Alligator mississippiensis: one gene and its partner. The protein of the gene in region 1 binds, or shares a complex with, the protein of each later gene. Links are inferred from orthologs where the notes say so. Each region holds a gene or a part of one and is shown in the gene's direction. Other genes may lie near its edges. The genes, in order: SMC5 and NSMCE2.

Region 1 (14,581 bases):
AGTGCCCACACGCACCACCTTTAAAGGACGGTGGTGCCCTCCCTGTATGAGGCATGCAGGGAGTACTTGAGGGAGGAGCTGTGCAAGGCAGGGCTGCAGGTAGCCTTGTACTTCACCTCGGACGTCTGGAGCAGCTGGGGTGGTGATCATGCCTACCTCTCCCTCACAGGGCACTGGTGCAATCAGTCAGGCCATCGGTGGGCTCTCCTCCAAGCTGAGGTGCTGGATGAGTCTGCATGGTACAGGGATGGCTCATTGGGCAGGGTGAGCTCACCTGCAGGTTCATAGTCACCGATAATGGTCAAGGTGGCCCATATCACCAACTTTGTTGGCATCCACTATGTGGCACACAGGCTGCATCTCATAGTCAGGGATGCCTTGGAGGGAAACAGGGCTGCTGGTGATGGCACCGCCACCACTACCACTATGAGCCACCTCATTTCAAAATGCAGGAAGTTGGTGGGCTATTTCCACTGCAGCACCAAAAGTGGCAAGATGCTGTGGAAGAAACAGGCAGAGCTGAGCATCCTGCAGCACGAAATCATGCAGGATGTGGAGACTCGGTGGAACTCCACATACCTGGTGCTGGAAAGGTTGGTGGAACAACAGAAGGCCATCCATGAGATGGCCTTGCTTGGGGAGATCGGAATCAGCAGCCCCCTTGACAGAGCTGAGTGGGGTCCCATCTCCCAGATCTTGGTGGTCCTCAAGCCCTTCCTCAAGGCCACCGAGACCCTTAGTGCTGGCGATGCCTTCCTCAGCCAGGTGATCCCCATAGTAAGGGAACTGGAGAACCAAATGGAGAAGTTTCAGGGGATCAATTCAGTTTCTTGGCTGGGGCAAGCCACTGTCATCAGCCATGCAGGCACTGGTGAGGCAGCTGAAGGAGGGCATCAGGAGATGGCTGGATCCTTTGCAGTCCAGTACAGTCCACATGCTGGTGGGCATGTGCGACCCAAGTGTGAATGGGAGCAAGTGCACTGGCAGCACCAAAACCCTCAATCACTGGACATAGGTGCTGGTCAACAGAGTCAGGGAGGCAGAAGGGCAGAGATGAGGGGATGTGAAAGAGGGGGATCCACTTTCCCGTTCCAGCAGTCCCAGCACCAGCACCAGCCAGTCTCCTCCACGCCAGCCACTGCCAATATCTCCCTGACAGCTGGCAGGCTTCATGGCTGCAGCAGGCCTAGCAGGCATACAGTTTTTGCCCCCTTGTGCCCTAACACAGACAGTCACACAAGCACCCATGTCACGAGTTTTGCCTGTCAGCAGCCTGAGGTGCAGGGCCTCAGAACCCAGAAGCCCCTACACCTATCTCCTTGACAGCTGGCAGGCTTTGTGGCCTCATCAGGGACCACCATCCCTGCAGTTTTCACCTTCCTGGTGCCTTAACACACACACACACACACACAGAGTGTCACCCATGTCATGAGTTTTGCTTGTCAGCAGCTTGAGGTGCAGGTTCCCAGAAACCCCTGTACCTCTCTCCTTGAAACTTGGCAGGCTTCATGGTCTCAGCAGGGGCTAGCATGCCTGCAGTTTTCACCCCGCTGTGGCTTAACACGCACATGTGACACGAGTTTTGCTTTCAATACTTTGAGGTACAGTTTCACAGAAACCCCCGCACCTATCTCCTTGAAACATGGCAAGCTTTGTGCCCCCAGAAGGGGCTACCATACCTGCAAGTTTCATCCAAATCAGCCACAAAAATGATAAAGTTATAGGTATTTCATTGATTCCCCATTATACTCTATGGCTGAATCTCCGAATCTCTCTGAATCGGCACTGAATTTTCCGAAGCTGATTTGGCCAAATCAATTTGGAACAGCCATCTGAATCTCTGAATCAAATCACTGGCCTCTGAATTGGCCGAATCTGAATCGAATAGTTCCGTATTTACACAAGCCTAGAGTCTTTGAGCTTTCTTTAACTCTTTAGTGGCAATAGGCAGGAAAACTGCATAGGACTTCATCCACTGACAAGTATCTATCCTGTGATAGGGTAGGAAGTGGAATAAAGCTGCTCCATCAGCTTTACAGTGGGTGCATCTACACGTGCACTTTAATATGCAGTAGCATTAAGGCGGCACATAAAAATGTGCCAATACACTAATGTGCAGTACAGTAGGCTACTGTGCATTAAGGGTCACTAAAAAAATTGTTCACTTTCACTACTGTGCATTAGGGTAGCCTAATATGCCTTTATGTAGTACCTCACATTAGAGGTACTAAACTTAATGTGCAGTAGCAAAAGCGCATTAATGCACGTGTACACATGCCCAATATGTATAAACCCATCCCATCTATAGTAGGAGTTGGGGATAATTCCTAAACATTATGTACACTTTACATCTTTAGAGCAACTTAAAGAGACCACAAAGATTTGGGGACAATGCTTGTACTATGTTAGGTTAATCATCCACCTAAAAATCTCTTCAGAAGTTAGAGGGACAAATGTATAAAAAGAAACCCCTGTATGTCCCCAGCTCTGTGGACAATGCCATTGTAACTATGAAAATAGAACCTTCAGCAGCAAATACAGGATCCCAGATTTTCAGTGGATTGTTTGCTCTAGAAACAACTTCGTATTGTAGTAAAACCAAAGTTGTTCTGAAAGAACCTTTTTCATTGTCTCCCTTCTGTATAATAAATCAGCTTTATTTTGCTATCTATACAGTATTTTTATTAACTCTTCATTGCTCAATTTTATTACTTAAAATGGTGCCAAATTCCACTCTCAGTTACATCAGTGCAACTCCTGAATAAATAAAGATTTCCTGGTTTACACCAATGTAAGTGAAATCAAATCCTGACCCCTATGTTATTTTAGACCAAAATAAATTTTATGGGCTGATTCAACAACATGTAAATCCAATTTTACTTTCATGTAATTCCATGCAAATATCTCATGATTAGCACCCAAAAGTTTAGTACTTGTCACAGCCTGGAACACCACCCAGAACACACATCTTCCAGAGACGTAGTTTTGATGCTTTATTAGTGAATAATTTTATCTGTCTGATTTTGAATACACATAAAAGAATGGGCTCACCAGAACTGCAAGTGCTCTTTTTGTAAATTTAAAGGCTATACAATTTAAGAGCAACGCTGAAATAGGCATGAATTGCTCTTATGTTACCACCTACTACAAACCAGAAGCTCCTACTCCTCACATTCCTACCAAGCAAAAACAAAAATCTGCCCCTTGCTCCTTCACACAAACCCTACTATTATCTCCATTTTTGTGTGTAATTAATGTAACCATTTAACCTAGAGGTATATTTACCATTTTTTAAATTGTAGAACTTCCTTTACAGCAACTTTTACATTGTAATTTCATATGATTTCATAAGTTGGCCTCATGCTGGGAAGTATAATTAAAGTGGTAGAGAGACATCTCCATTCACTGAATGTAGAAACATTTACCACTCCCATTTATACTTATCTTTCTCCACACCCATCTCCATGCTCCATTTTTCTTTCCTTCCTTTCTCCTTTTTCCTATCTCTTTTTCTATTCTCTCCTTTTTGTTCTTAACTTTCTTTGAAATTTTCTCTCTCCCATTCTCATTCTCTTCCATGTACACCTCCATTGCCATTGCTCTTTCTCTCTTGCTTTCCCCATCTTTAGAATGTTCCATATTTCTGCCATATTAGCTTTCAGATCTTTACCTCATCCTTCATTCTTCTCTCATGCCTGCTCTTTTCTGGGGTATCGTATTTCTTTTTCATCTCTCATCCACAACAGTGGTTCCTCTTCTCTCAGTTCAGCTTATTCTTCCTCTCTACCCTACTCCAGCAACTGCCTCTTCCAAGACTTGGAGAAAGACGATTGTTTTCTCTGTCCCTATATACTAGCAGCCTAATATTAAACTGGCTGCTTAGTGTAGCTGTCTTATTTCCTTTGGCTGGAAGCCACACTAGCAGCTCAGTGGCGGTGTCAGCGCAAGCGTAACAAAAGGAAGTTGTGAATGTGCTAGTGACATTCTGGAGCCACAAAGCCTAAGTCATCGTTCCAGGCAGTCTCTGAGAGGAAAAATAGCCCTGAATGTTAGATTGGAAAACTCCACCACCATGAATTTGTTCTTCTAGGATCCCTTAACAAAAAGCAAAGAGATGCTGAATGAGCAATGAGTTGGAGCACTAATCCCAGAAGCTCTCATTGTGACAGACTATGGTTGTGCTGTAATATTTCTGGAAACCTGCAGGCAGAGCTCTATTAGTAGGGAATGGGACATCAAGAGATCAGTGGGCTGATTTGTTCATGAAGGCCCAGAGTAGCACCAGATAGATTTCAGCTTCAGCACCTGTAGAAGACTCGCTGCTGCTTCTGGTGCCAAGGGGGAACATGAAAGCATAAAACATCTTGAAAAACAGGGGTGCCTGAGATTTTTGGGGGAGCGAGAACATTCAGGGCTATTTTTCCTCTCAGAGACTGCCTGGAACGATGACTTAGGCTTTGTGGCTCCAGAATGCTGCCTTTTATATTGAGATTGACCAAAAAATGTTGTTTTGTATTCGGAAGAAGAGCTGTTTGCTTTGTTGCATATGACTTGGGCATGCTCTGTCTCATCAAAGAGGTAAAGTAATTTTCCAGAAGCTCATCCAAAAGGAGGCCATAGATGATCAGAGAGGTCAGGGACCAAAGGGCCAGGTCTCTGGGTCTGAGGAGTCAGGGGCTCCCACTCTAGAAGCTATGCTTGGGCTGGCTTCCAAGGGAGTCTGTGTAAGGCTCGGGGGGCAGGAGGATAGCGTTCCAAGCAAGTGCTACCCCTGACACCTATGTATTCGCTTCCATGCTACAGGCTCCCTTTGCAACAAAACTAACTAGAAAATGTACTTTTCTTTTTGTTTTGTTACAAAGTAAAGACAAGTCAGAGATTTAAAATGATACTTTAGGGGTTGCAGAAACCAGCATCTTTACTTGAAAGGCTTTGTCTGGTCCAAGCACTGACAATATTCTGTCCTACCCCAAGGAGTGCAAATATTTAGAGGATGCATATGTTTACATTAATGACTGTATATCCCATAGACCTTTGAAATAATTTCTCAGTGGTAAAATCATTTCCCTGTGGAAGAAGTGTTACATTCTGCTGCCATCTAGTGGAAAGGACAGGACCATCTTCAGTCTGAAATCAGTTCAGTAAACAATATTAAGCATGTCTTAGTCTGACACAATCATCTAAGCCTATCTTCTGTGTTCCTGCTGTTGCTACTTAAAATGTGTGATGACCTTCCCTACTGCAAATTCTTCTATTCTGGCCAGTGCCTGATATAAGTCTTTTAATTAAATTATCTGTTATCCGGTCTCAGAATGCAGTGTTTCAGTCTGAGTTTTGTCAGTGTCTTCTGGTAATACTGACATGCTATAGCTATTATCCATAACTTTTTCTAGGTATATTTATGGAGTCTAGGTCTAAATAAACACATTTTGGTGTAATCAGCCTATGATTTGGGGCTGTTTGCTACCTTTATCCTCAGCTTCCTTCATGGTGTTTGCTAGTCTCACTTGATGCTTTTTGTTGTAAATTAGACTATCAATTCCTAAATCCAGCTAGCCTCTGTGTCTGTGTAACATTTAGTTCAATGGGGCCTGGATCCTAATCTGGGTGGTACATCCATATAAATAACAAAATCTATTGATAATATCTGTGGCACTTATTATCTGAGATCCCTTCCAACCTTAATTTTCTGTGATTCTATAACTTATATGGGAGACACATGAAGGAGAAAATGAACCTAATAGGATGCAATCTTTTAAGGATACTCTTTAAAGAAGTTCAAATGTTCTGCATTTAAGAGAACAAATGAAATGACAACATACTAAAACGTGACAGGGTAAACTCAAAACACATTGAGAAGAACTTCCTTCTCATGTAGCATATCCTAATCCTGCAACAACATTAATCAAGCAAGACAGTTGAGGCAAAAACACTTGTGATTTTTTAAGAAAAAAAATTGGTGTCATTCTATGTCAATACAGCATAAAACAAGAGTGAACAACTGTCTCAATTTGTTATATATACAGATGGAAATCATGCTCCGATAATGTTTAGTTCCCAATTTACATGAATAGTTTGAACTTTTAACAGTCTTTTTTGTGTTACTGTCTTGTTGACAACAGGCTTATTGCACTATATTTACAACTTCTACAGCTAACCAAATGACACCTGATGTTGACTATTAAAAACTAACATACTGATTGAGACTTGCCTGACTGAGCAAATTAATTAATTTTAGCATGTTTCCCTGTGGAATCAGTTGGTCATTTCCTTTATGTTTAAAGTCAGCTGTTAAAAAGTCAGGAAAATCTTTGGAGATAAGGCAGTAAGGATAATCTAAATTCCATTTCCATCCAAATTTGGCATCATGAACAGGTCTGAAGATGTGCTGCTACTGTAGCTCTCTGCATTGATCCAGCGTGTGTTATGTCAAGGGGAGAGACAGACAAAGCATGATGATAAGGTCCGTGACGCTCCTCCCTGAGGAGTTTTGCGGGCTGTGGCATTCAGCACTGAATTGAGGCAGTGGAGCTGAGCTGCAAGGGCACATTTCATGGCAGCTCCAGTAGCAAGTAAGAACCTGCTCCAAACTTGTATCTGGAGATGACTCCTTTCCTTCTGTAAATAGGAGACAGGTTACACAAGGTGGGAGGCTCAAAAGAAGTTTGAGGTGATGATTACTGTGTCGCTCCTTCCTCTGTTTTGGCTATAGCTGCCAGCACCCTCCAAGCTTGCTCAATGAGGGCAGACCTTTGGCTTTGTTCTCATGTCATTCAGCACCATGCAAACCGCAAGGCAAGGCAAGGCAAGGCTGGTGACTCTGAGGCAAACGTTACTGCAGAGTAACTCGACTTTACGACAGCATGGAAGTGGAAGGACACAGGAACACAGGAAAGCAGGGCTGGCAGAGACTTCACCAGGCCATCAAATCTGGCCCCAGGCTCAAGGCAGCACCACCTCTAAACCATCCCAGCCCAGTATCTGTGCAGCCGGCTCCTGAACATTTCTAGGGATGGAGATTGCACAGCTCCTTTAGGCAGCCTGTGCCAGTGCCTGCCTGACTAGCCTAGGGGCCTTGCCATGGGTTCAAATGAAAGCTGGATAAGAACCAGCCATCAAGTTATTACACATGTTCAAGCACTACCTCCCAGCCCTGTAATGGAAGAGACAGTTTTATGGCAGGATACTGCAAGTGCAGCCCTGCTCAGTCTACTGTGCAATCGCACTATGCCTGCAACCTGCGAGAGCCGCAGAGACAGAAAGCTCCTCCCCCACCCCCAGTCGGGGGCAGCCTGAGGCCTTGGCCTAGTCCTGCCCGAGGTCACGTGTCTGCACGACCCAAACCACAGGGCCAAGCGCGGGCTGTTTGTGCCCGGGGGACTACATCTCCTAGAATGCGCCGCGCCCGCCCGCAGCGCATGCTGGGAGGGCGCCCCACGAGCCGCGGTGCAAGCTAGGAAGTGTAGTCCTGACAGCCCCATGACGCGAGCTCCCCCTCACGCAAACGTAACGCGAGGTAGCCAGTGAGAGGAAACCAAACCGGGCACCACCCACCCGGCCCCGCCCCCTCTCCCTCTGAAGGAGGAACCGCCCCTGCCCAGCCGCAGCCAATGGCGAGTGCAATAAGGCGTCACGTGCCGGGCAGAACGCGCGGCCATAATCTCGAGCCTAGCGAAACTGAAAGTAACGGGCGGACCCGGCCTTCCCCCGCCTCTCTCAGCCAATGAGGCTTCTCGTTACATCGCCTCTCGCTCTCCTTCAGCCAATAGGCTCGGGCGTCGCTCTCTGTTAGCGTTTCCTTCCCCTCCCCCCCACGTCACTCCCCCCCCTCACCTTTTCCCCTCCCCGCCGGCATTTCCGCACCCTGATTAGCCAATGGGCCTCGCGCTTCACCGAGCGCTGTGACGTCTCCCCCTCTCCCCGCCAATGGGCGCCTGGGCGCCGGGAGCGCTGAGCCGGCCGCTTAGTCTCTACACGGCGCGCGGCAGCAGTTCGGGGGGGTGGGGAGAGTAGGAATACAGCCGGCACCAAGATGGCGACCCCGGCCAAGCGCAGAGCTGGGAGCAGCGTCGGGCGGGGCGCGGGCGCCGCTGGCCCGGGGGAGGCGAAGCCGCCGTCCGCGTTCGTGGACGGCTCCATCGTGCGAGTCGCCATGGAGAACTTCCTGTGAGCGCGGGGCGCGGGGATGACGTCAGCGTGTGGCGGCGGGCAGTGGAGGGTGTGACGTCAGCGTGTGGCGGGGGGGGGGGAGAGAAGCAGTGAGGGAACCTCCCCCTGCCCCCACGAGGTCTCTAGCTGTGCTGCCCCTCCCCCCCCAGCCCGCCCAGTAGGGCTGTGAGTCCCCTTTGGTGGTTGCTTGAGACACCCAAAAGACAAAACCGGCTGGGAGCGAGGGCACGGAGCGCCAGGACAAGTGCACCGAGGGGCAACACGGAGCACAGCATGCTGGGCACTGCCTGCTGGGCTGGGGATAGGCAGCAGATGCTCAGGAAGCAGCAGACCCTGCTCAGTGAAACCAGCAGCCTTGCTAGGTCTTCAATTGCAGAAATTATTGTCTTGGAAGCTCAAAATGATCATATTTGCTGAAAAACAATCGTAGGCTGAAAAAAGGAGGCAAATAAGTTTTTTTCTTCTTGACTTTATATTGCGCACTGTAATCACCAGTGGGTGAGTGAGAACCGGGTCCTCAAAGTTGAAGCGTTTCTTTATTTCGAGGCCATTGGTCATAAGAAAGCACTGACCACAAACTTCAAAGTCAGTTAGGCCTCCCTGAGAGTGACTTGGGTTTTGCCTGTGCTGCATCAATGAGCGACCTCAAAAATGATCATACATTTTGAAAGCTTTTGCTCTTATTGATCATATGTTGTACAAGGGTTGAAATTATCATACAAATGCGATAATTATTGTAAACCTGGGAACACTGAGTGCAACTGTCTGGAGGTGTGAATGGGCCATAGATGGATAAAGGTCTTGCAGCCCTCAGGGGAGGCAGGGTGTCCTCCCAGCCAGAGCCTCTGTCTTGGTTGGGTAGATCGCTAGCATGGCTGGGCCAATGAGGAGTTTGACCAAGCCTGTTTGTTATTCCATTGGGTGAGGAAGCTTGGTAGCTTGGCTAGATTCAGGAAGAGGTTGACTTAGAGGTCCTGGGACTAGGGGGGACCTAGTTTATTGGTCTAGGACTGGGACTCTGTGAGGCCTAGTACATTCAATCACATGGGACTAGTTCATTTTTGTAAATGAACAGGTGCAGGGAGTAATGCAACCCTAAACTCAGCAGGCGGTGAAGGGGCTGCAGCCTGGCACGTTCTAGGTAGGCACGTGCCAGGATCTCCCTCTGTTCATGGGGCAGGTTTTGGGGGAGTCTGTAAACTGTTCTAGATGGCCATCCATGGTGACAGCTCTCTGGAGGAGCTGCCAGCTGAGGTCTCCTGATGGCTTGTGGGATTGAGGTGGAGTACACGCTCATCCACCAGGGACCCTCATCTTCACCAAGGATGTCCTGTCACTGTGTCCAGGGGGGATGTAAGGATAGGGATGATGGAGGGTGCAGACCCTGAGCGTGTACAGCTGGTGGTGATGGGCTGTCCAGAAGTGGACTGGCGTATCCCACAGCCTGCTACAGAGAATCCAGCAGTATGGTGGAGAGTACCATGGGGTCTGCCAAGGCAGGGGCCCCATGCCAGCTCTGGGGAGTGGAGACTGTCCTTATGCAGGACCTGGTTCTGTGTGATGCAAGACAGGAGCCCGGGCAAGATGGACCTATGGTCTGACCCAGTAAATGGCAGTTCTTATGTCCCCAAGGGCTTTTCTCTGAGGATCATGCCCCTGCATATGTGGGGATGGGGATTCCCCTCCTCCCCCCACCTTTGTAGTCTCTCACAGCTATGATTGCAAGAATGGACAGATGGAGTGTAACCAATGCCCTGGTGTCGCTTAGCCTGGAGTCATCCTGGGAAACAGCAGTGCTGGGTAGTGCAAGCTGTTCACTGCAGGGAGCTATGGGAGGAGGTGTAACCGCAAGACATGGATTTTCTGGGCGAAACCATTTAATGGCATTCTAATGGCATTGTCAAAAAAACTGCTTTGACATAGGGATGGCCCAGAGTGTTAGATTCAGTCATGAAAATGGAAGAGCCTTGTGGTTTTATATATGTTGGAGTTGCAGTTAAGTACGCTCAATTATGTAAAACTTTGTTCATACACATTAGAAGGAGGGAGTCTGATTGAAGTGTGCCTTCTGAGAACAGCCTGCTCTCCCCTTTCTGCACCTCTGGTAATCTTGTTACTCCCAGTACTTTACTTCTAATGGCAGCCTAAAAATGATGGGATCTGGTCAGCGTCAGGTCTTCTAATGGCACAGCAGTTGATGGACTAAAGAAGGATTTGCTGTCTATCAGTGTGTCTGGCAACTTTCTGGTTGGCAACTGAGCATGCTGTGTCTGGCTTAAATACAAAATCTGAGGAGTTTAGTCTAAATTAAGTTATTGTAGGATAGAAAGCTATTGTAGGTAGCTGCACTTGTGTGCCATGGAATCAGAAACCTTTGCAGAACTTAATATACAGCACAGCAGGCTGTGTCTGAACTTTGAATATAGGCAATGCTCATTAGGATCTGTGATGCAGAAGATGGCTTGTGTCAAATATGACACACTTCAACACAACTTTAGGTGCTTTTGTTTATCAGTTTTGTCAAAATTCTGCTTGCCCTTTTTCCCTGAATGAAAAAAACAAACTAATAAGGGTGAAATCCATGCTCCATCAAAGTAAATGGCAGCTTTGCAATTGCCATACCTAGAGCAAATTTTTCAAATTGGCATACCTCTCAAATTTTTCATTTTCTGCAGTCCTTATGGAAAAGGATAGACGATCACTACAGCTTGATGGCTTTTCTTATGCTGCATCAGATGATGTGGAATTAATTCTTTTTATGATGCAAATTTTTATACAAAGCAATATTTGGGGAAGCACTTAAATCTCATCTGTAGTATTGTAGATGTATTGTTGTGTTGTGCTGTGCTTGCCTTAGACCACTTTGATGTTACTTTGCATGTATTTGTTTTGTTTAAAATTCTCACTTTTTTTTCTAGTATACCTTGCTTTATATTTTATAATGAAGACTAACGTGAAATCATGGTGTCTTTCAGAACATATGATAATTGTGAAGTGTATCCAGGACCTCACTTGAACATGATAGTGGGTGCTAATGGAACAGGAAAATCAAGCATTGTTTGTGCCATCTGTCTGGGATTGGCCGGAAAACCTTCTTTCATAGGGCGAGCAGACAAGGTCAGTACAAATTTCTGTCTTCCAGGTACTTAACTGAGGAAATCACTGAAGGCCCTGTCCAGCAGGAAGCAGCCATAATCCCTGTACTTTTGTGAACTCCATTTGAAGGTGCATAATAGCTCCTCAGCAAATAGGGCCAAGTCTCCACTTAAGAGAGCTTTGATTGCAGAAGTTAGTGAGACTGAGTGCATTGATGCTAACAGCATCTGTGACAACAGAGCCCTTCTTTCTGCCAGCAGAGCAACACCTGCTCAACTGAAAGATGGTTGCTGCAGTAGACTGGGCTCTCTAACCTGTTGGCACAGCTCTTGTAGTTGAGCAGGACCTGGACAGAGCTGCCAAAAGCCGTGCAGTATGAATGTGGTCTGTTAATTTCTCTGTGACAACTACTGTCTGCTGCCAGTACTGGAAACAGAGAGAGCCTCTGTAGGACAATACCTAAGTCTGCTGCACTGAAAAAGCTCTCCATGAAAAACACAGCTCTGCTTTAGGTTTGCCAAGGAGTGACTTAGCAAGACAAGATAAATAGAGAGAATTTGCATTCAGTCTGAAAGTATTTAATTCATGTTGGGACACTCAGATATCCTAAGTAACATAACTTAATGAAAACTCTAGGGCTGGGGAAATGCATGTTCTTTTCCTCTTGTTTCCTGGATAGGGAGTTTTGGGAGGCTGAAGTGTTCTTCTTAAACCTCAGTAGGTTATTTAAGTGGCCTTTGCATGTTCATGTTTATAGACTGCAACAATGACCTCTGACAAACACTGCAGGGCCCACTGTCACCAGTGCATCCCATAAATGTGAACATGTAGAGTCCATTGGGAAGATTTCTGTTTTTTCTCTGTTACTTTGTCACAAGAAATGTATTATTATCTGTGTAGTAGTATAAAATAAATGTCTTGATTAGACAATGGGGTTTTAAAATTGTTTTGACATTTTGAGATTTTTCTGAAAATTCAAGAGTGAATTTGGTGGCCATCTAGAAGTGGTTGTGTCCATTAACTGGTCACTTAGTGACTTAATCATTCTCCTGCCTGGACAAGCAAATATTTTCAAAATAGATGGGTTTGATGGGGCCAGCTGTCAGGTTTCTCACCTTTTTTATTTAGGTATTGTGTATACTGCTAGAAAATAAAAATGAATATGGCTTTATCTGAAACTCATTTTGCTAAATGAGTTTCAAATTATGATTCAAGTATCAACCTTCAGGTAGGGCATGAGTTTTGGAGCAGTCAGTGAATTATAGCAGACTGTTCACTAAATCGCCCTATTCTCTCTTCCGTGAAGAAACTGAAGTCCTGGTCTATTATTACTGTCTAATGGGCTTTCAGTATTGGCCATGCACTGTCTGTATAGTAAGTGCATGTTTGAGAACTGTGTGTAAAGTAGCATAGATTGGTATTGATTATGTGGTGAAATATTCAAAAGCTGTTATGAGTTTTCTGGGAAATTTGACTTTAGAGATGTCTTTGATTTTCAGGTATTAAATTCTGTAGCTCTTTCTTTGCAGGTTGGTTTCTTCGTAAAGCGAGGCTGCTGTAAAGGCACAGTTGAAATTGAACTGTAAGTACTAAAACCACCTTTCAGTTTTCATTTGTTTCTGCATCACAAAATAGATCTGCAAGAAGTCTAGTATAGTGATGTCTCCTGGTTCAAGTAGTTCTGACTCATTTTGAAGTTGATAATATTAATTGGCTTTCACGTGATTATAATTGACCAGCTAATAACCTGTCATATTTGCCATAATCTCAAAATGGGGCTCTTGGCACACAGAAAAAGAAAAGGAGTGAATGTGAAAATACTGTTCCTTGATTTAATTTGTTTTAGCTTTTTATGTATTCAACTTTCATATAATGCTGTTGCAGTTTTGATTAAGTGAACGCATAGAATGCTGTATGTAGTTGTACCTTAATTGCTTAAATTGTTTTTATGTAATACAGAGCTCTTTCTTAGCTTGAAGTTATTTGTTAAGATTGCAACATGACTTCATAACATTGGGTATTATGGGCAGTGTTGGGTCCTGCAGCAAAGAATTGTGTGTCAAACAAAAGGGAAAGAAAATGGACAGAAAGGTAGTTCCAAGGACATGCTATCTTTTATGTATGTAAACTGTCTCTTGGGTCCCTGTTGCATGTTTAAATTAAAACTGGATAGAAATGAGCTACAGAGCTACACATTTTCACGCTTTATTCTTGGTAGCTGGTTGGCTCTTTTTATAGCTCTAATCATTTTTTATGGTGTGGTAATTACTTTGCATGGGAGGCTGGTCTAATTTTATTGTGTGATTAATGAGTTAATTGCATAATATATGTAACATATAGCAGTGGCCTAACAGAGAAAATATTTGGCCATGAATTAGTGAGAGGTACTGAATAAGAGTGTTTTGAAATCCAGCATAAGAAACTATATTGAGAGCTGACTAGAACAGTATTGTCTGGATAGCAAAGACAGTCTTGTTTCCAGAATAAAGAGGTGAAGAAGTGACAACTGAGTCACCTTGGTGATGTGTGAAAGTTATTCAGCGAAAAACCTTGGGTATTGATAAAGAAATTTGGGCTAGGAAAATGTCTGGTAATACAGGGACAACTAATTGTAGTGTTAGAAGCAGAAAGAAAGAAAGAAGATGCAATGACTGCTTCCTTAGGATGATGATTTATACTTTTTGGATAGAAAGAAACTAATTATTTGAAGGGACTGTTTGATTTCCACTCTTTCAGGAGATAGGGGTGGAGCCAAGGATTATTATAATCCTAATAATGGGACCCTCATCTAATTGCAAGGTAGTATAAGAGGACCATAGTTAAGTGTTACCAGAAAGAAAGTGGTGATGGATTTGCAATAGACTTGTTTGTCAACACTAGTCAACTTTATTTGTCAGCAGCAGTTCTGAGTTCATTTGCCTGCATAATGCTGTACTAAGCAATATGTTAGAGGAGTAATTTTAGGGGCAGATTTTAATTCCCATGTGAATGTGTTTATGGGTCTCTTGCTTTCTTTTTATTTGCCTTTTCTAGTGTGTTTGTGGGTTTATATAGTCTAGCTAGTCATTTGAACAGTACAATGCACTCATAGAGATTCTTCATATATCAAACATATGGACATTTAAAAACAGTAGCAATATGTGAACAGTACCTTGCAGAGGGATTTTAGCCAAAGCAGAAAGGCCTGCAGAAGGAAACTACTTGAAACATAATATTTCATAAATCACTTTTATATAGAACACGTGAAAGGCAGGACTTAGGACTTGGAACATCTCACCTGTTGGCCAGGAAGTAAGGCAAATATGTGAGAACTGAG
Region 2 (15,420 bases), about 180 Mb from region 1:
GGTTCTCCCTGGGGTCACAGGACAAAGCACCCACCCACTCCTCACACTGGAACTGAAGGTGTGTGGAGCGGACAGGGGCTTGGCTATGGGGGTCTGTTCAGCTCCCAGACTCAGGCTGGCGGTGGCTCCAGGCTCTTCCCGGTGCTCTGCCCGTCTCCACCCCAGCCCCAGCTACAGCTGCCGGCACCAGCTGCCTGCACCAGGGCATGGTGCAGCTCAGCGGCTACAGGGAGCTGGCGTTGGCCGCTCCCAGAACAGAGAAAGAGGGATAGAAATGGTTACTACACATCTGGCTGCCTTTGACTGCCCCCACCTCCCCTGCTTAAATGACCAGGTACTCATTTCAAACTGGGTGTACTGGGAACAACCTTGCTATTGACTCATGCCTCTTGATTAACAGCAAGGCACCGCACCACATAGTAACCCACCTGGTTATAAATGTCATCTGATCTCAAGCGGCCTATAACCATGCTGATGAATGTTTCACTTATAGGTACCCTACTGAAGTAGCTTTCAGGGTAATTTGGAGGTCTTTTGGCCCCAGATTGGCTTGAATACCCAGTGCTTCGGAGCAGTTTACATATATCGTCCATATTGGAATCAGCAGAGGATCGAGCAGCACTAAGTTATAAAAGCAAAAAAACAAATGTTGTTACGTGAACTGACTCACTTAAGAGACAAAATTCTTACTGGTTTTTAGAAGTTATTTTTTCCTGCAGACAAAAGAATAATTTTTACCACATCACGGGAGGGCAGTTATAGATGTATGGTTGTACTTGGAATTCCAACTAAGAGTATCAAAGGAGACAATGAACCTTATTTATAGGTCACACAAGATGGAAACATTATACTTAGAAAATGAATCTAACTCCTTCCCTCCCTCCATTTCCTCCTCCCCCAAATTTTCTTTTTTGCCCCATCTGCACATTCTGGAGAGGTGACATGGAAATCTGTCCATTTATATCCGAAGTCAACCAGAAGTACCAATACATGTGCATGTATTCAAGTACTGTCCCTATTGTCTCTTTTAGTGAATTTATTATGGGTAAAAAGCTTTAGACCAGAGGTGTCAAACATAAGAGCTCATGGACTGGATGCAGCTCGTGCAACTGGCCCATCCAGCCTGCTGGTAGTCCGACAGCCTACTGGAGGTTTCAGGGCAGGGCTAGTGGGACGTGACCTGCTACACAATTTGAAGTCCCTGGGCCCTGATGGACATGGCCATCGGTGGGAGGCCCTTGTTTGCTCTGCCACTGCCTCCAAACCTGCGCTGCTGCCCAAACCTAGACTTACAGATCCAGCCCAGAAGTCCCCCCCACCATGGTTCGGATTGGCTCAGAGCACAGGGTTTTAGCAGGACACCACTGGTGTAGACTGTTAACCTTGGAGGTTTTTGCTTGGTTTAATCTAATGTTGCCAGCCTTACTCAGAAATCCATTTATTGATTGTGTTATTCAAGAGTGCTTTGCAACTCAATAAGGTATAGCATGGGGGAGAAATTTGTGATCTAGAAACTAAGACAACCTCACAAAGCTCCAAAAGTGCCTTTGGAAATCTCTGATGACAGAGTGACAGTACTGAAGGTCCATGAGGAATCTATTGATAAATTATTTCAAGTCCTTAAGTCACTAAATGAAGGCATCTGTGGCACTGAATTTGCAAATGGATCTAAGCAGCCACACCCCGATATATGCAAGGAGATCACTGACCTCCACAGGCTCTACATCAGTGGCAGGCGAAGTCCAGTCTTTGAGCCAGGTCGGGCCCATGGCGGACTCCGTTTCCCAGCAGCCTCTGCCCACATTCCAACCAGTTTCCATAGAGACCTCAGGAGACAGCGTGGGGTTAAGGTGTCCATGCTGTGAGCCCTACCAGTGCTGCTCAGGCCAGTCTCCATGGTGGGGAGCTGCTCTGGGGCTGGAGCCGAGATTTTGCGGCAGTAACAACATGGTTCAGAGCCGGGGCAGAGCCGTGATCTGCTGCCTGCTTGGTCTTGCCTGGGGCATGTAGGCAATAGAACATGATTCTGCCCTGGCTCTGGACCATGCTGTCACTGCAACAAAATCTTGACCCTGGTCCCAGCCCCAGAGCAGCTTCCCACCTAGCCACGAGCTCTGCCAGGACTGCTTAGGCCAATCTCCATGGAAACCCTGTTGTCATCCCCCCCCCCCCCCCATGGCCCGCCACTCCTGGGGTCTCCATGGAAACTGCCCGGAGCAACATGAGCAGGGGCTGCTAGGAAATGGAGTGGATCTACTGGTTGGATCCACCATTTTGCCCACCCCTGCTTTACATGATCAAGGGAAAGAGCCTACCCAGTTCTAGGACCGAAGCCAATATTTCTACATGCTACATTAAATTTATGCACCTATAAAACAATTAAGCGTAATATGCTGTTTGCTGTATTCTAGCTGTAGAAGCCACATTACGGCACTTCTAAAGTACAATACCTGTATCTATAGTAGGAAACCAACATCCTTTCTCTGACCTCCCCTTCAATTTTCTGGTCGATAACCAGCAACATGACTCCATACAAATAGAGCGCTTCACACTGTTGAGAAATGCTATAAATTAACAAATTATGCCATCTAATAACAACATGCCTTTACTTTTGAAGCAAATTAATCTTTAGACATTACATAGACAGTAATACCCTATGTTTGCTTGCTGAGTTGCATTAGCCTTATTCTTAGATTGACAAATTATGTTTCCAAGCCAGTTAAAACTATTGGCTTCATAAAACTGGCCATTTGTCTTGTGCAACCTGTGGGAAGACGACAGCTATTCAGTAAGATGGTCAGCTCATTTAATAGGAGTCGCCTACTGTCAATGACTTTTGGATTTCTAATGACCTGGATGTAATTCGAACCACGATTGAGTGAAAGTGAAGTTCTCTTTATTCCCTTGGCCAGTCCCATAAAAGTTTCTCACAAAGGAGAGCCACAGATCTTCATCACATTTGTGAAATTAAAAATTTATTTTTGTCTATACCTAATGCTAAATTTAGAAAAGCCGGATGCCAAATTTGCTGATAACTAAATGACTTCATTTATAATACTGATTACTAACTCTTGATTACTTACTAGAAGCTGCTTCCCATCTTCATTAAGGAGCACAGTTTCCAGTGTTTGCTGAATATAAATTCCTTCATTGAGATCATCCAAATATCTAGAAATGTTAACAAAAGGTCAGTCATGGTTTAGTAAGAGTCCTCTCTCTGCTTCTTAAGCCAGGTACCTTCACAATTCAGTCAGACAATTTCCCCTGAAGGTCAACAGAAATTGGTCCCTGCCACTCCTAAAGCTTATTGTTAATATTTCCCATGTTATGGAAAAGTCTGCCTGGAACAGGTTCAATAAGCACAAGTTACTTGAGAGCAAGGAAAAGCTGGCATTAGAGGCCTGAGGCCACTAGGTGCCAAACCTCTTGGAACACATACTGGCCCAATTAACATCTCTGTGGGATTTGAAAATAGTCAGTATCCTGCAAACCTGGGTCTCACATTCTAGTGAAAAGAGAACACGGAGTTTTCAAGTTATCCACTTAGCTCTGTGTGGATGGATGTAACCTAAAGAAGAAAAAGCCTAGGATCCAGTCATAGACTATGAAGCAACACTGGGATATTATGCACAAGGTTAAACAGTACTTTATTACCAGAATCTAGAAGACACTTTGAGATTCTGACAACATGAATAGAGATTACCTTACAGATACCAGATACTATGGAAATCTCTAACGTATTTCTATTCCGTTTTGCTGGGATAGAGTGGGAAGTGAAGTATCTTCACATTGATTGTTAAGAGGTTTTTACTATTCCAGCTAGTTTAGGATTTTTGGATTAGATCAGCAAAACCCAAAACTCTTATTGACTTTATAGACATGATAGCGCATCTTCCTTATAGAATGGTGTGAGCTGTTTTCAGCAGAGACCATGGGATAAGGCAAATTCTTTGGAAAAAAATATTTGAGACTGTTATGATATTGCTTTCTTCAAACAGAGATGCAAAAGGTAACAAAGGGTTATCTGAATATCTTTCATTCTCTTGCAAGACTTTTTGTGAATGTGCATAAGACATAACTCACATGCAAAGAAACTGAGGAACAGAGTTAATTAACTCTCCAAGATTACAGAGTAAGACATTAACGGCAGGATTAAAACTTGGATAAAACCCCCTCCTTTTTAAATGTCTACCTGAGTGTTTTCTACTACTACCCACTACCACAGCAGGGTTTTCTACACAAAAATCAACATCAGAAGCAGTTGCTAGTTGGCTTTGGGGAATCTCTGACACTTGACTAGACTATGTTGTTAAGTGTATACATATATAATTTAGCAGAGGGGTATCCCAAAAAAGAAAACACAGAACACAAGACTAAGATCATATGGTTACTGGTGTCATTATGTTAATAAACCCTGTTACATGTACCTGTTTAAATCTACAATGTATTTATGGACGCTTTGAAATGCCAGATAAAATCTTGTTAATATTTCTATGTTGTTTTCACGGAACTCTTCATCTAAATCCAGTAGCTCAGCTCTGGCCTCCAACTTGCCTTCACAGATTTCAGGCCCCTAAGAAGAACAGGACATTTATTTTAAAAGAGTAAAAAAGAAAGTAATTGTGACAGTTTGCCACAGGACATAATGGATGAATTATCAATTATTATTTCTTTCTTGTGCTCTGTGAAAGATCCACACAGAAGGAGACAGTGACAGACAGACTATACAACTGAAGCCATGAAACTGCATAAAGTCCTGCCAAATGCACCAAGTGCCCAAACTGAAACAATTTATTTTTATCTCTTTTGGTTATAGTAATTTCAGGAATTATTTGTATAAGGGGGGTTTCAGGCAGAAGCAGAATTTCTAAATCGCTGATATGTTTTGAATCTATTTGTTCTTCTGCTTCCCATAGGCACTGAAGAGAATGAGATCAGAGACTGGATTAAAATTCAGGAACTCCGAATCTCATTTATTGCTCAGAGCCCACTCCTCTTTCTACAAGGAGAACTGCATGATAAGGAACCTCTTTTATTGTATGCTTCTTGGAAATAGAAAGGCAAATCAGTTCATCATGAGAAGTCCCATACAAATTGTTCTCCAGAATAGCAGAGTTAAGTGGGTACTGCCAGAGGCTCAACTCAAGAAGGAATCTCACAGCTCCTCTGTGGAAAGTAGTCATATCTGTGCTGGTTAATGTACCATATGTCAACCGACTGAGTGAAAGTATAACAAACATTTTTTTTATCATAACAGAAACACAGCAGTGTTCACAGCAGTACAAGATACAGAATACAGCTAAAGACCGCCAGAAATACTACAGGAGGCCCACAATACTATATTAAGGGTCACACCCAAGTTGATAGACTTTGCTGGTCCTGATGAAAGTGAGATTTTATGTATTGAACTATCCTAAATAATGAGAATGAATGTTCCAAAATAAGAACTTATTTCAGTAATGAAAGATCTATCACTTTGAAATGGTATCTGGTGTGATTACTAATGTAAATCAATCTTGCTTTCCTCTAAATCCTCCATTCAAGTGCTCTGATAGGATCAGCATTAACACTCAAGCTCTTCAAGCACAAAAATCTTGATTGCCACATTCAGACTCACAGAAATAAGGCATGGAAAATGTGTGATAAGAAATGTATGGATTTAGTTTACTCAAGAAGTAAAGAACTAACACATAGGCATTTCCATGTCACAGTCTATGGATGAATTTGTGGTCAAGGTCAAAATATGTATAAAATACATTTTATTGTATTCTAAATTTTGGTGGTAATGACTAAAATCAATTAAGTGTGCCGATTTTTACAAAGATATGCTCTATATTGCCAAACAGAAATTTTGTTCCAGAAAGAAAATGGCAGTCTAGAGCTAAAACAATAGGAAAATGCTTACCTTAAAATAACTGAAATCGAATATGATATCGCCATACTTCTGTTGATCAGCCTTGTCTTTTAGCCTAAACACACCAGGAATAAACTCAGATAGTCTCAAAAGTTCTGCAATGATGGCATTCCCACAGGAAACAATCCTAAGAATTGCCTGGCCACAGAGATTATTTTCAGCTAGAAAATCAACCATCTTGGAGACTATGGTGAAAGGATAGCAAAATTACTGCAATCCGTCTGCAAGCTTCAGCCTTTAAGTCATTTAGACAAAAAATCGTCGCTGGAAAATTGGTTGCTCCATTAAGAGTACCTGCAAAAAGGAAAACAGAACAAAAAACACAGAACCATGTTCAGTATATTTCATATTCATATTTTTGATGACTGGATTCAACTGGAAAAGCTACTGTATTAGAACTCTGTGTCCTCCAGAATCTCAGAGTAGATGGCTTATAAATAAAACACGATGTAGTCTATTTTCAGTGTGTACAAAACACTTAGCTAGCATCATCAGCTTATGAGAAACAGCTGCACAACTTCCAATACCAAAAGATTTTAGAACAACTGCTAAAGGACAAAATAGTCTCAGACGCTTATAAAGTTGAGTCTATCTATTCCGAACACCATTACAAAGTTGGTACTGTACAAGATGAGTTTAGAAACTGTAAAGGATGAGCATAGAAACTATTTTCATAGTGCACCATGACAGTTCGTCAATGTGGTTAAACACTTGGAGTGTATGGAAACTGAATGCAGTTCAGGGCCCTTTGTTTATTACCAAACCAGTATCTGTTTATCCCAAACTTCCGTATTATAGATAAGGTAACATGTCAGTAATCTCTCTTCAAATCAGAAATCTTATTTTACCCAGTAAAACAAAAAAAAGCATGACACAATCTCTTTCCATCATAGTTGACAGAGATGATTTACTGTACAACCCTTATTAACACGCTGGGTAACCACAATTATTCTATAGTACAGATAAATTAGCTGAGCCACAGGGAGGTTATACGACTTGTCTGAGATCTCACAGCAAATCTATGGCAGAGCTGGAAACAAAAACCAGCTCTCTGGAAACCTAATCTGCAATTGTTGCTAGAATTTTAAATAAATTATAGAGCAGAACGTCTGCTCAAATAACATTTTTTTGGCATTATTTCAGGAATAACAAATCAAAATGCAGAAGGAAGAACAAAATTACACCTTAAAGAGATGCATAAGCCTTCATAAGCAACAGCTCACTTTTTCAGATGCTACACAGCATATTTGAATAGCTATTCTATATGGTACAAGTCTACCTTGTGTTCTGCCTGACTTCAGACTAACATGACTAAGTACTTTGCCAAAATAAAAATACAGGCATTACCAAATTCAGCCCTAACTCATTTGTTTTCCCTTCATTTGTCTCTCAGCTCAGTCAATGGGAAATACACAAAGTCACTTCCACTTTTCTTTCTTTCCAGAAAGTCAGCTGTGGGAGTGGTAGTCTGAAGTCAGGCAGAAGGCAGAGCAGGGTGGCACCTTTAAGACTAACTGGCTGGAGAAACTTGAGCTTTTCACAGAATCATAGAAAATTAGGGTTGGCAGGGACCTCAGGAGGTCATCTAGTCCAGGGGTTTTCAAGCCCCAGGCCATGACCCGGTGCTGGGCCGCAAAGGGTTGGATGCTGGTATGCAGGAGGGCTGGCCCATCCTATCTTGCGGCAGTGGCTGCTGCGTTTGAGGTTTGCTCCCTCCCTCCCGCCCGCTGGGTGCAAGTGTCTTTACGGTTGTTCCGGTTAGAAGTTCTTGCCGTGGGGCCCTGCACGGTGTCACTGGAAGTGACTGCGGACTGGAAGTGACCGGCATGTGGCGGATTCAGCATAAAAAAGGGTTGGCTGCCGGTCTGCGGCGACTTCCAGTCCGCAGTTTGCCAGTCCTCAATCTAAAAAGTTTGGGACCCTTGACCCAACCCTCTGTTCAAAGCAGGACCATCCAACTATATCATCCCAACCAAGGCTTTGTCAAGCCAGGTCTTAAAAACCTCCAAGGGTGGAAAGTCCAGCATGTCTCTGGGTAACCTGTTCCAGTGCCGTACTACCTTTCCGGCACGAAAGTTTTTCCTTATATCTAACCTAAACTGCCCTTGCTGCAACTTGAGACCATTGCTCCTTGTTCTGTCATCTGCCATCACCGAGAACAGTTTAGCTTGGGGTGGGCAATTATTTGGACCCACAGGCCGCATAGGCAGTTTTGAGGAGCTGTTGGAGGCTGGTCAGCACCCACCCCCAACAGCTCACCAAAGCCAGAGTCCATGGGCCCTGCAGTTCCTCCCTGCCACTGCCACCACCAACAGTGTCTGCTAGCTGCTAAGCACAGTCCTGGCCCCAGCCCACCCCACGCCTGCTCTGAACTCACCCTGGCTGGAGCGGACCTGCTCCAAACCAGCCAGAAACCAAGCGCACAGCCCCGTTCCCGGCCCCGTCCCAGCCAGAGCGGACCAGCTCCAGGCCAGCTCACAAATGTGCACAGCCCCGGCCCACCCCACACCTGCTCCAGACCGGCCCACCTATGATGGACAGCAGCATCCCCGCAGAAGCGGCTACTGAGGATGGGGGAAAAGCAGCCGCCCCCCACTCTCTGCTGCCGGGACCGTCTTGCTGCGGCCGCCTGGACCCACACCTGGTGCCCAGCACCAGGCCGCCACTGCTGCTCTTCGTGGGCGGGCGGGCAGGCGAGCTGGAGCTGCACGCATGGGTCCTGGCTGGTCTGCTCCGGCCGGCGCAGGTGCACAGAGGGTGCGGGGTGGGCTGGGGTCGGGGCTGCGCACACTGGTCCCTGCCCGTCTCCCTGCGGCTGGTGGCAGTAACCAGAAGGAGCCACGCCAGCCACACTGCACGCCCCGGGGTGGCGGGACACGCGCCACGGGCCCAACAGCACCAAAGTCCCTCCACATCCAGCCTGCGTTTTGCCCGCCGCCGGTCTCACTCCATCCAGGGTTGTATTTTCAGTCAGTTCCTAAAATGTTTCTTCCGAGTTCACAGTTGGCACAGACCACGCCTGCTCCAGTTTGCACGGGCAGGTCCCAATTCACAAGCCCCGCTGCCCGGCCCCGTGAAAGGGGCAAGAGGCCTGGGACACGCGCCTTTTCGGGCGACAGCCTGTTCGGGGAGGCGCTTCACACACACGCGTGTCTCAGTCAGAAGACCTTCCCCGCCCGCCCGCCCGCCACATGCCCGGTCCCCCCCCAGGGAGCAGCGACCCCCAGGGCAGCTCGTCCTGGGGCAGCCCAATTTGGGGCCAAGACCTTTCCTCGCCCGCCCCGGTGTAGCCCCGCCCCCACCAACCGCCGTGCCCTGACCCCCCAACCGCCTCCAACCGTCACCCGTCCCGCACTCACCGCTCGCAGCGGCCTCCGCGGCCGGGCCGAGCCGGGCCGGGCCTCCCGTCACGTGAGCGGTGTCACGTGAGCGGACGAGGCGGGGCCTGCCGGCGCGGGCGCGGGCCTGGGCCGGGCCGCAGGTGGGTGCTGGGGGAGGGAAGGGAAGGGAAGGGAAGGGAGGGTCGTAGCCCCTTCCCCAGCCCCCGCCACTGCCCCCCGGCCAGGCCCCGCAGGCAACAGTTGAGGGCCTTCGTGGCACCCCGGGGTGCGTTGGGCTCCCCCTCAGTGGTGCAGACGGGGCTGCCAGGGCGGGTGTCCCACAGGACTCTGGCACCCGAGGCAGAAAAGCAGCTCTGTTATTTTTTTCGCAGGCACAAAAGAGGCAAAGCTGAGAGGCTTCGTTGTCGTCATCGTCATCTGAGGGGACTCGCGTCTGGAGCGGTGAGCGCCGCCGCGCCTTTGGGTGGGAGCGTCCCCTCGGAGTTCAGTGCCGCCTCGAAGATGTCGCGCGGAGCCCTTGGCGGCTCTGGACTCCCGCGGGAAACTCCCGCTCACCTCCGTGGAGCGCGAGGGTCTGCGGTTGCCGGTCGCTTCTGCGGAGCGTGAGCTGCCGGGTGAAGTGGGGCGGCCTGGCTTCGTGTGGGGATGGCCGCCCTGCGCCGCCTGAGTGGCGTGTGACAGGTTGGGCAGGGAGCAGAAAGCGGAGCAGTAGGTCAGACGGGGGGAGGGGAGTGGTACTTGGGGAGACCACAGAGCTAATTTGAGGCCTGCCTAGCAGAGTGGTTGGCCCCCGCTGATTTATTGTGAGAAAAGTCCTTTGTTATTTTAAACCATGAAGCCGGTGATGGGTTAAGCTGCAGCCCCCCCAGGCTCCCACCCTGTCACCGTTCCCTGCACAGCTCCTGGCTCTGGGCTTCCTGTCGCCCTCTGGCTTTTGCAGCCTGCACATCCCAGGGGGCAGGCGGTGCAGCTGGCAGTCAGTGTAGCAGGGAGCCCGCAGCGGGGTGCACAATCCGTGGGGGAGCTGCCCACACACATGGTGTAGCAAGGTGGGGATTACTTACTTGTGCAGTACAGTTTGGGGGTCCTCCTGCTGTGGCCCATGTGGTGTATGGCTGCTTGTGGCACATGTGTTTAAGAAAAAGTTTGTGCTTTGCAGAAGCTCTGGGCAGCTGTCGGAAAGTTTCTACCCAAAGGGAGCGTGCGGGACTCTTCCAGCTGAGTTCAGAGCTGGCTAAGGGGTCCTCACATGGCTCCTTAAAACCTAAAGCCTAAATTTTCCTTCCAAACAAGCCAGCATTAAGCAGATGCAGTGCTTTCTTTCTGCCTGCCAGTGAGTCACAACCCCACTGCCTTTGCTCTGAGTAAAGGCAGTGCTCACAAGCTTCAGCAGAGTAAAAGTGACCAAAATCTTGACAGTTGCCTTGCAGTCTTCCAGTGTCCTGGTTTTCTGAGTGGGCAGCAGTGAAACTGAAAACAATCAGGTCAATTCCGTTTTCATGAAACTGAAAAGCAGGAGCAGACCCGGGTTATTTACTAGGGAGGAACACCTGAAAATGAAATGAAATATGTTATGCGCATGGCAGCAGCAGATGAACAGTAGAGTAGGTGCTTATAAGAATGAATGGAACACCTTAGGCTACAGAAAAGGGATTTGTTTTTTAAGAGGTGGGGAAACACTTTCTAATAGCAAAGGTGATTTAAGCAATAGAATAATTTTTCAAGGGAGAAAATTGATGCAGTGTCCCTAGAAGTGTGTAGAGTATCACAACAGAGGCATACTTGTGAGCTGGTCTTCAAATTCTCTCTCTGTGTCATGTAAATCTTGTCTGAAGACCTTGTTTCTCAGTAGATGAGAAGGATGGATGGGAGGGGGGAGAGAGAGAGAATAAAGAATATATTTATCCTTTGTCATTAAAACAAACAAGCAGAGAAATGACTTAAGTCATGTTTAGAAACAGCTTTCCAAGCAAAGTGGCTGCTGAGACGTGAATAAAAACCCAGTGCTTTATGTGAAGAAGCAGCGTGTTAGTTCAATCTGGCTCTGTAGCACCTGTATGGATTGTGCACTTCAGCAGGGCTTTTCGGCACTTTTATCTAACAGCTAGAAGGATTCAATCAGCTAGTAGATAAAAGCACCAGAAAAAAACCCACCAGAGTGCCCAATTTATACAGACATTGGGCAATCTGGGGCAAACTAATGCAATGCCTCTTCTGAGCATGTGCTGTGCTCAGTGCAGGGGCGCTGTGAATTTGAAGTGCTGTTTTGGGGGGTCTTTTTGTTTTTTACATCTGTAAGCAGGCAGTGATGATTGGGGGAAAAGTACTTGAATCCCTTCAAGATTGAGCTGGAAAACTTTATGGATGGTTGACATAATAGGATAGGGAGTTGTGACTCAATCAGTTGGTGTGACTTGTGTTTGCAGTGCCCATGTTGAAATGCCTCTTTTTGCAGTGTGGCAGGTGCATTTCGTGGGTTTTGCTAATTGCCAGTTCAGCCAGGAAAGTTCTCACCCCCCATTCTCCTTGTAAATGCTCTTGGCTTCATTTTTGTTTTCCTTGCATTTATCTGAACACTGGAACGTTGGCTACAGCTGAGGTGCGGGTTTGAGTCAGGTGCACTGATGCTTCTGTTGTTATTTAAAAAAAGCCACAGAGTTTTATTCTTTTGCTCAGATGTATATTGATCTCCTAATTTAGACTCAGAAAGCAGTTTTTCCCTTAGGTCAGATTGGGACAGAGTGTGTTCATGCATCTCTATGCATATATGTGTGTGGTGTGCCTTCTGTAGCTTAGAGCTTGATTCCAAGGATCCTCTCAGCCTACATTAACTAATCACTTTTATATCTTTGTGGCAAGGTCTGGGGAGAACCCTAGTCTCCTCTGCTTTTACTTACAATAGGTTATAGGGTATTCTTAGCATTGCACATATTGTACCCTGTAGTTGATCTGAGGGTTTAAAGTAGCTTTTTAATAGAATTATTGCCTGCAAAAGCAGGGAACTGGACTCAGTAACCCAGGAAGTCTCCTTGATCTTCAGAGACAGGTGTTTTTTTTTAAAGGAACTCTTCCCGCCTCTGGTTTGACAGTCTTTTAGATTATATTGAATATAGTATTAACTACTCTTCTTAGGGGAAAAGAGAAGCTTAAGTTGTGCTGGACTGAATCTGTTGGAGTCTGAGCCTGCTTCTTTAAAGATGAGCAAGACATAAGCAAAAAGGGAAAGAGTAGAGCAGCAAAGATAGCTAGCACCAGAAAGTGCATTTTGCCTTACTTGCAGTTTTGCTGCTAGTAACTGACAGACACAGCTTATGGTTTATCAGCCACTTGAGGGCTAGGCAAATTTGTATGAGTACCAAGCTATTTGGTACTCATAGACTGCTTTTAGTTGTCTCTGGTTTTGAGGTCACAACAGTGTTTCAGAGAGACAGTTTTGGCTGGCAAGGCCATACTTACTAAAAAGAAGACAAAAAAAAAAGGAAAGGGTACACAGCATTGTGCCTAGCAGCAGGAAAGCAAGTCACAGTCCTGAAAGATTGTAGAGTCCTTGGTCTGGTCCCTGGCTTGCTCTCTCCAGGACACCTCAGAGTGAGGGCGATAAAGGTCCAGTCTTGGTGAACTTGCATCCTTGAGTCCCAGCAGATGGGGAGGTAGCATGACAATAAAGCTCAATTCTTATGGTCTATATGTCCTGCTGGCATCAGTGTCAAATTCTGGAGTGCCAAAAAGTGGGGGCTGTGTAGAATCGAGGGCTGGCAGATTGAGGCCCCCACAATGAGACAGGGAATGGGGTAGGAGCTGGGGCAGGGTCAGAGGTAGGCATTGCCCAGCTGAGGTGGGACAGTGCACAGGGGGCATGGAGGCAGGCGGCTCCGTTCCGCGCTTGCCCGTGCCTCTGCCCCGGTCCCACTCCTTCCTTCGCTGTGGGACCTTGATCTGCACCCTCCATGCTCCTTCCCCCACAGACTTACTGGTCCTGCTCTCCAAGCTGCCAGGCTGCATATCGGCAGTTGGATCCTTATCGGCTGATATGGCTGATTAATAATTGGCCATTGGTATTGGCCAAAGAAAACTTTGCAGTGCATCCCTAAATTTAATGCAACAGGCTTGGTCTTTACTTTGGTCTTCTTAAAAATATAGGACTCTTCGCCACAGATCTATGCTTCACTCCCTGTGGTCAGAGCATAGTGAAATGAGAGCTGGTATTGAGGGTGGCTATTGATTAATGGTGAGCAATTGAACAAAACTGTAGGATCAAGCTATCCCATTACAGGTGGGAAGTTGCATCTTGTGTGGCAAAAAGCATACCAACAGAGAGAAGGCAGTAGGCCAGAGCTGGACTATAGTAAGTATAGCAATGGGAATTGAGATGTTCATCGGGTAGCAAAAAAGACAAATGTTATTCATGTGCCCCAATGACCTAGTGGCACCAAGCATTACTGAATGACTCCTTTGCTGAGAGGGAGAGAGAGAGAGATCTGTCTTATTTCTTTCTTTTTTTTTTTCTTCAGTGAAGGGATTAGGTAATTTGGTTTTTAAATATATTCTTAAGACTATTGTCCTTTGTTTTCTGGTCTCTATGAGTGAAAACTAGGTTTTTTCAGGGAACTTCTTTTTTGTCAAAATAGCCCTTGTAATCTGGAAGTGTATTGCTTGACTTGAGTTCAGTAGCTTGCTTATTAATGTGAAAACCACAGGCTGCTTTCTGCAGTGGAGAGGTGTTCAGCATTGTGTGATAGGAAGTTTGAATCCCTCTGGTTAAATTATGGTTCCACTAGTGACTGAACTCCTGCTGACTACAGTGGAGCCAGGATTTAACCCTTACTAACACAGGATTAGATTGTGGGGACTCTTCATTAGATGTTTGTGCTTTTATTTCTTTTGCTAAATGTTTTGTTTCTGAATTCTCTTTTTTGCTATTTCCATCCAGAGTAATTATTTCAAGATGCCTGGGGGTTCAGTGATCTCATTCAATGCTGTGGATTCTTCTCTGTCATCTTTAAAAAACTGCCAGTCATACATAAACACCGGCATGGATATTGCTAGTAACGTTGCTTTTGACCTTGTGGAAAATCTCAGTAAGTATTTGGTTTGAGTACATTGTCTTGCTTATTACCACCTTTGAACTGTACAGACAGTCTTAAGCACACATACATAGGCCTGGGAACAATAAAAATCCATCTTTATTATAAGAACAGCAGCTTTTCTTCTAGCTACTTTGGAGACTTGCCATTTAAATCATTTCCCTGTCTTAAACAATAACTTAAATGGAATATAACTCCCAAATAGACATGCTCTAGCTTTTTTTTAAGTCCAGAAAACTAATTACTTTTTGCTGTTCGCTATTCTGCAGCCTTTTAGAAGTTTTAGCTGTAAAGGAAGACGACTTGTGCAAACCCCTCTGAGTAGATGAATAGCCTGACTGACTCTAACACTACGTTTTTATCCCTATGTGTTTTAAAATGTCCTAAGCTGTTTTCAAAAGTGACTATTGATTATTTGGGGTGCGCAGCTTGAGATCTGTCGTAAGAGACTAGATTTTTATAAAATATTCAACCCATCTTGTGATATCATGCTTCTGAAAGATGTATCAGTTTAGCCACCCATTAAGGGAATTATCTCAAATCACTAGCAGCTTCTGAAAATCTTGGTCTATGTATTGTATAATGCCAGCTTTGTATGCATTTGTTTTTCAAGATGAAAGCAAAATACCCAGTCCCCTATTCTTGCCACCACTGCAGCTGCAATCTGGACTGTATTTGTCAAGGGACAGATTTATCTGAATCCTAAAATAATTGTAGGATATGGTAGCTGTTCAAGGGAATGGAAGGTTCTCCTCTTCCTGCATGTACTGCAGAGATTTTAGTGCAAAACTGTTGAACTCAAAGAAATGAATGAATAGTTTTTTTAACAAGAAGGAGGAGAGAAAATCTCATGAAAACAGATGATTCCTTTTTCATGGCATACTGAAGGTTCCGTTCAACTAAACCAATGCTTAGTTTCGAGAAAGAAGGACAGTATAAGTTGGTGGTTCCCTCCCATTTCCATTGCTGGTATAACCAGCTCTGTTCCGCTTTGCTTCTGGTGTCACCACATCTTTTACTTCTACATAAGGGGCAGCTGGTGTATGAGAAAATGTGCTGAGCATGCTGTGTTCTCTCAACC

The links.
Region 2: SMC5 (region 1) and NSMCE2 share a complex: the UniProt entries of both Homo sapiens proteins name them as parts of the SMC5-SMC6 complex. The link is inferred for Alligator mississippiensis from reciprocal best matches to the Homo sapiens genes SMC5 and NSMCE2.

Annotation. Positions count from the first base shown.
Region 1 is NC_081826.1:194,264,253-194,278,833, forward strand, and holds the start of SMC5 (structural maintenance of chromosomes protein 5), read left to right. Parts: upstream 1-7,883; 5' UTR 7,884-8,032; coding exon 8,033-8,166; intron 8,167-11,144; coding exon 11,145-11,286; intron 11,287-12,794; coding exon 12,795-12,847; intron 12,848-14,581. UniProt on the Homo sapiens protein: Core component of the SMC5-SMC6 complex, a complex involved in repair of DNA double-strand breaks by homologous recombination.
Region 2 is NC_081826.1:19,246,784-19,262,203, reverse strand, and holds the start of NSMCE2 (E3 SUMO-protein ligase NSE2), read left to right. Parts: upstream 1-9,336; 5' UTR 9,337-9,395; intron 9,396-9,422; exon of another isoform or gene 9,423-9,520; intron 9,521-9,626; 5' UTR 9,627-9,696; intron 9,697-9,754; exon of another isoform or gene 9,755-9,963; intron 9,964-14,185; 5' UTR 14,186-14,200; coding exon 14,201-14,333; intron 14,334-15,420. Other genes in the region: WASHC5 (WASH complex subunit 5), read right to left, coding at 429-621, 2,451-2,551, 3,084-3,168, 4,428-4,573, 5,906-6,091. UniProt on the Homo sapiens protein: E3 SUMO-protein ligase component of the SMC5-SMC6 complex, a complex involved in DNA double-strand break repair by homologous recombination. Is not be required for the stability of the complex.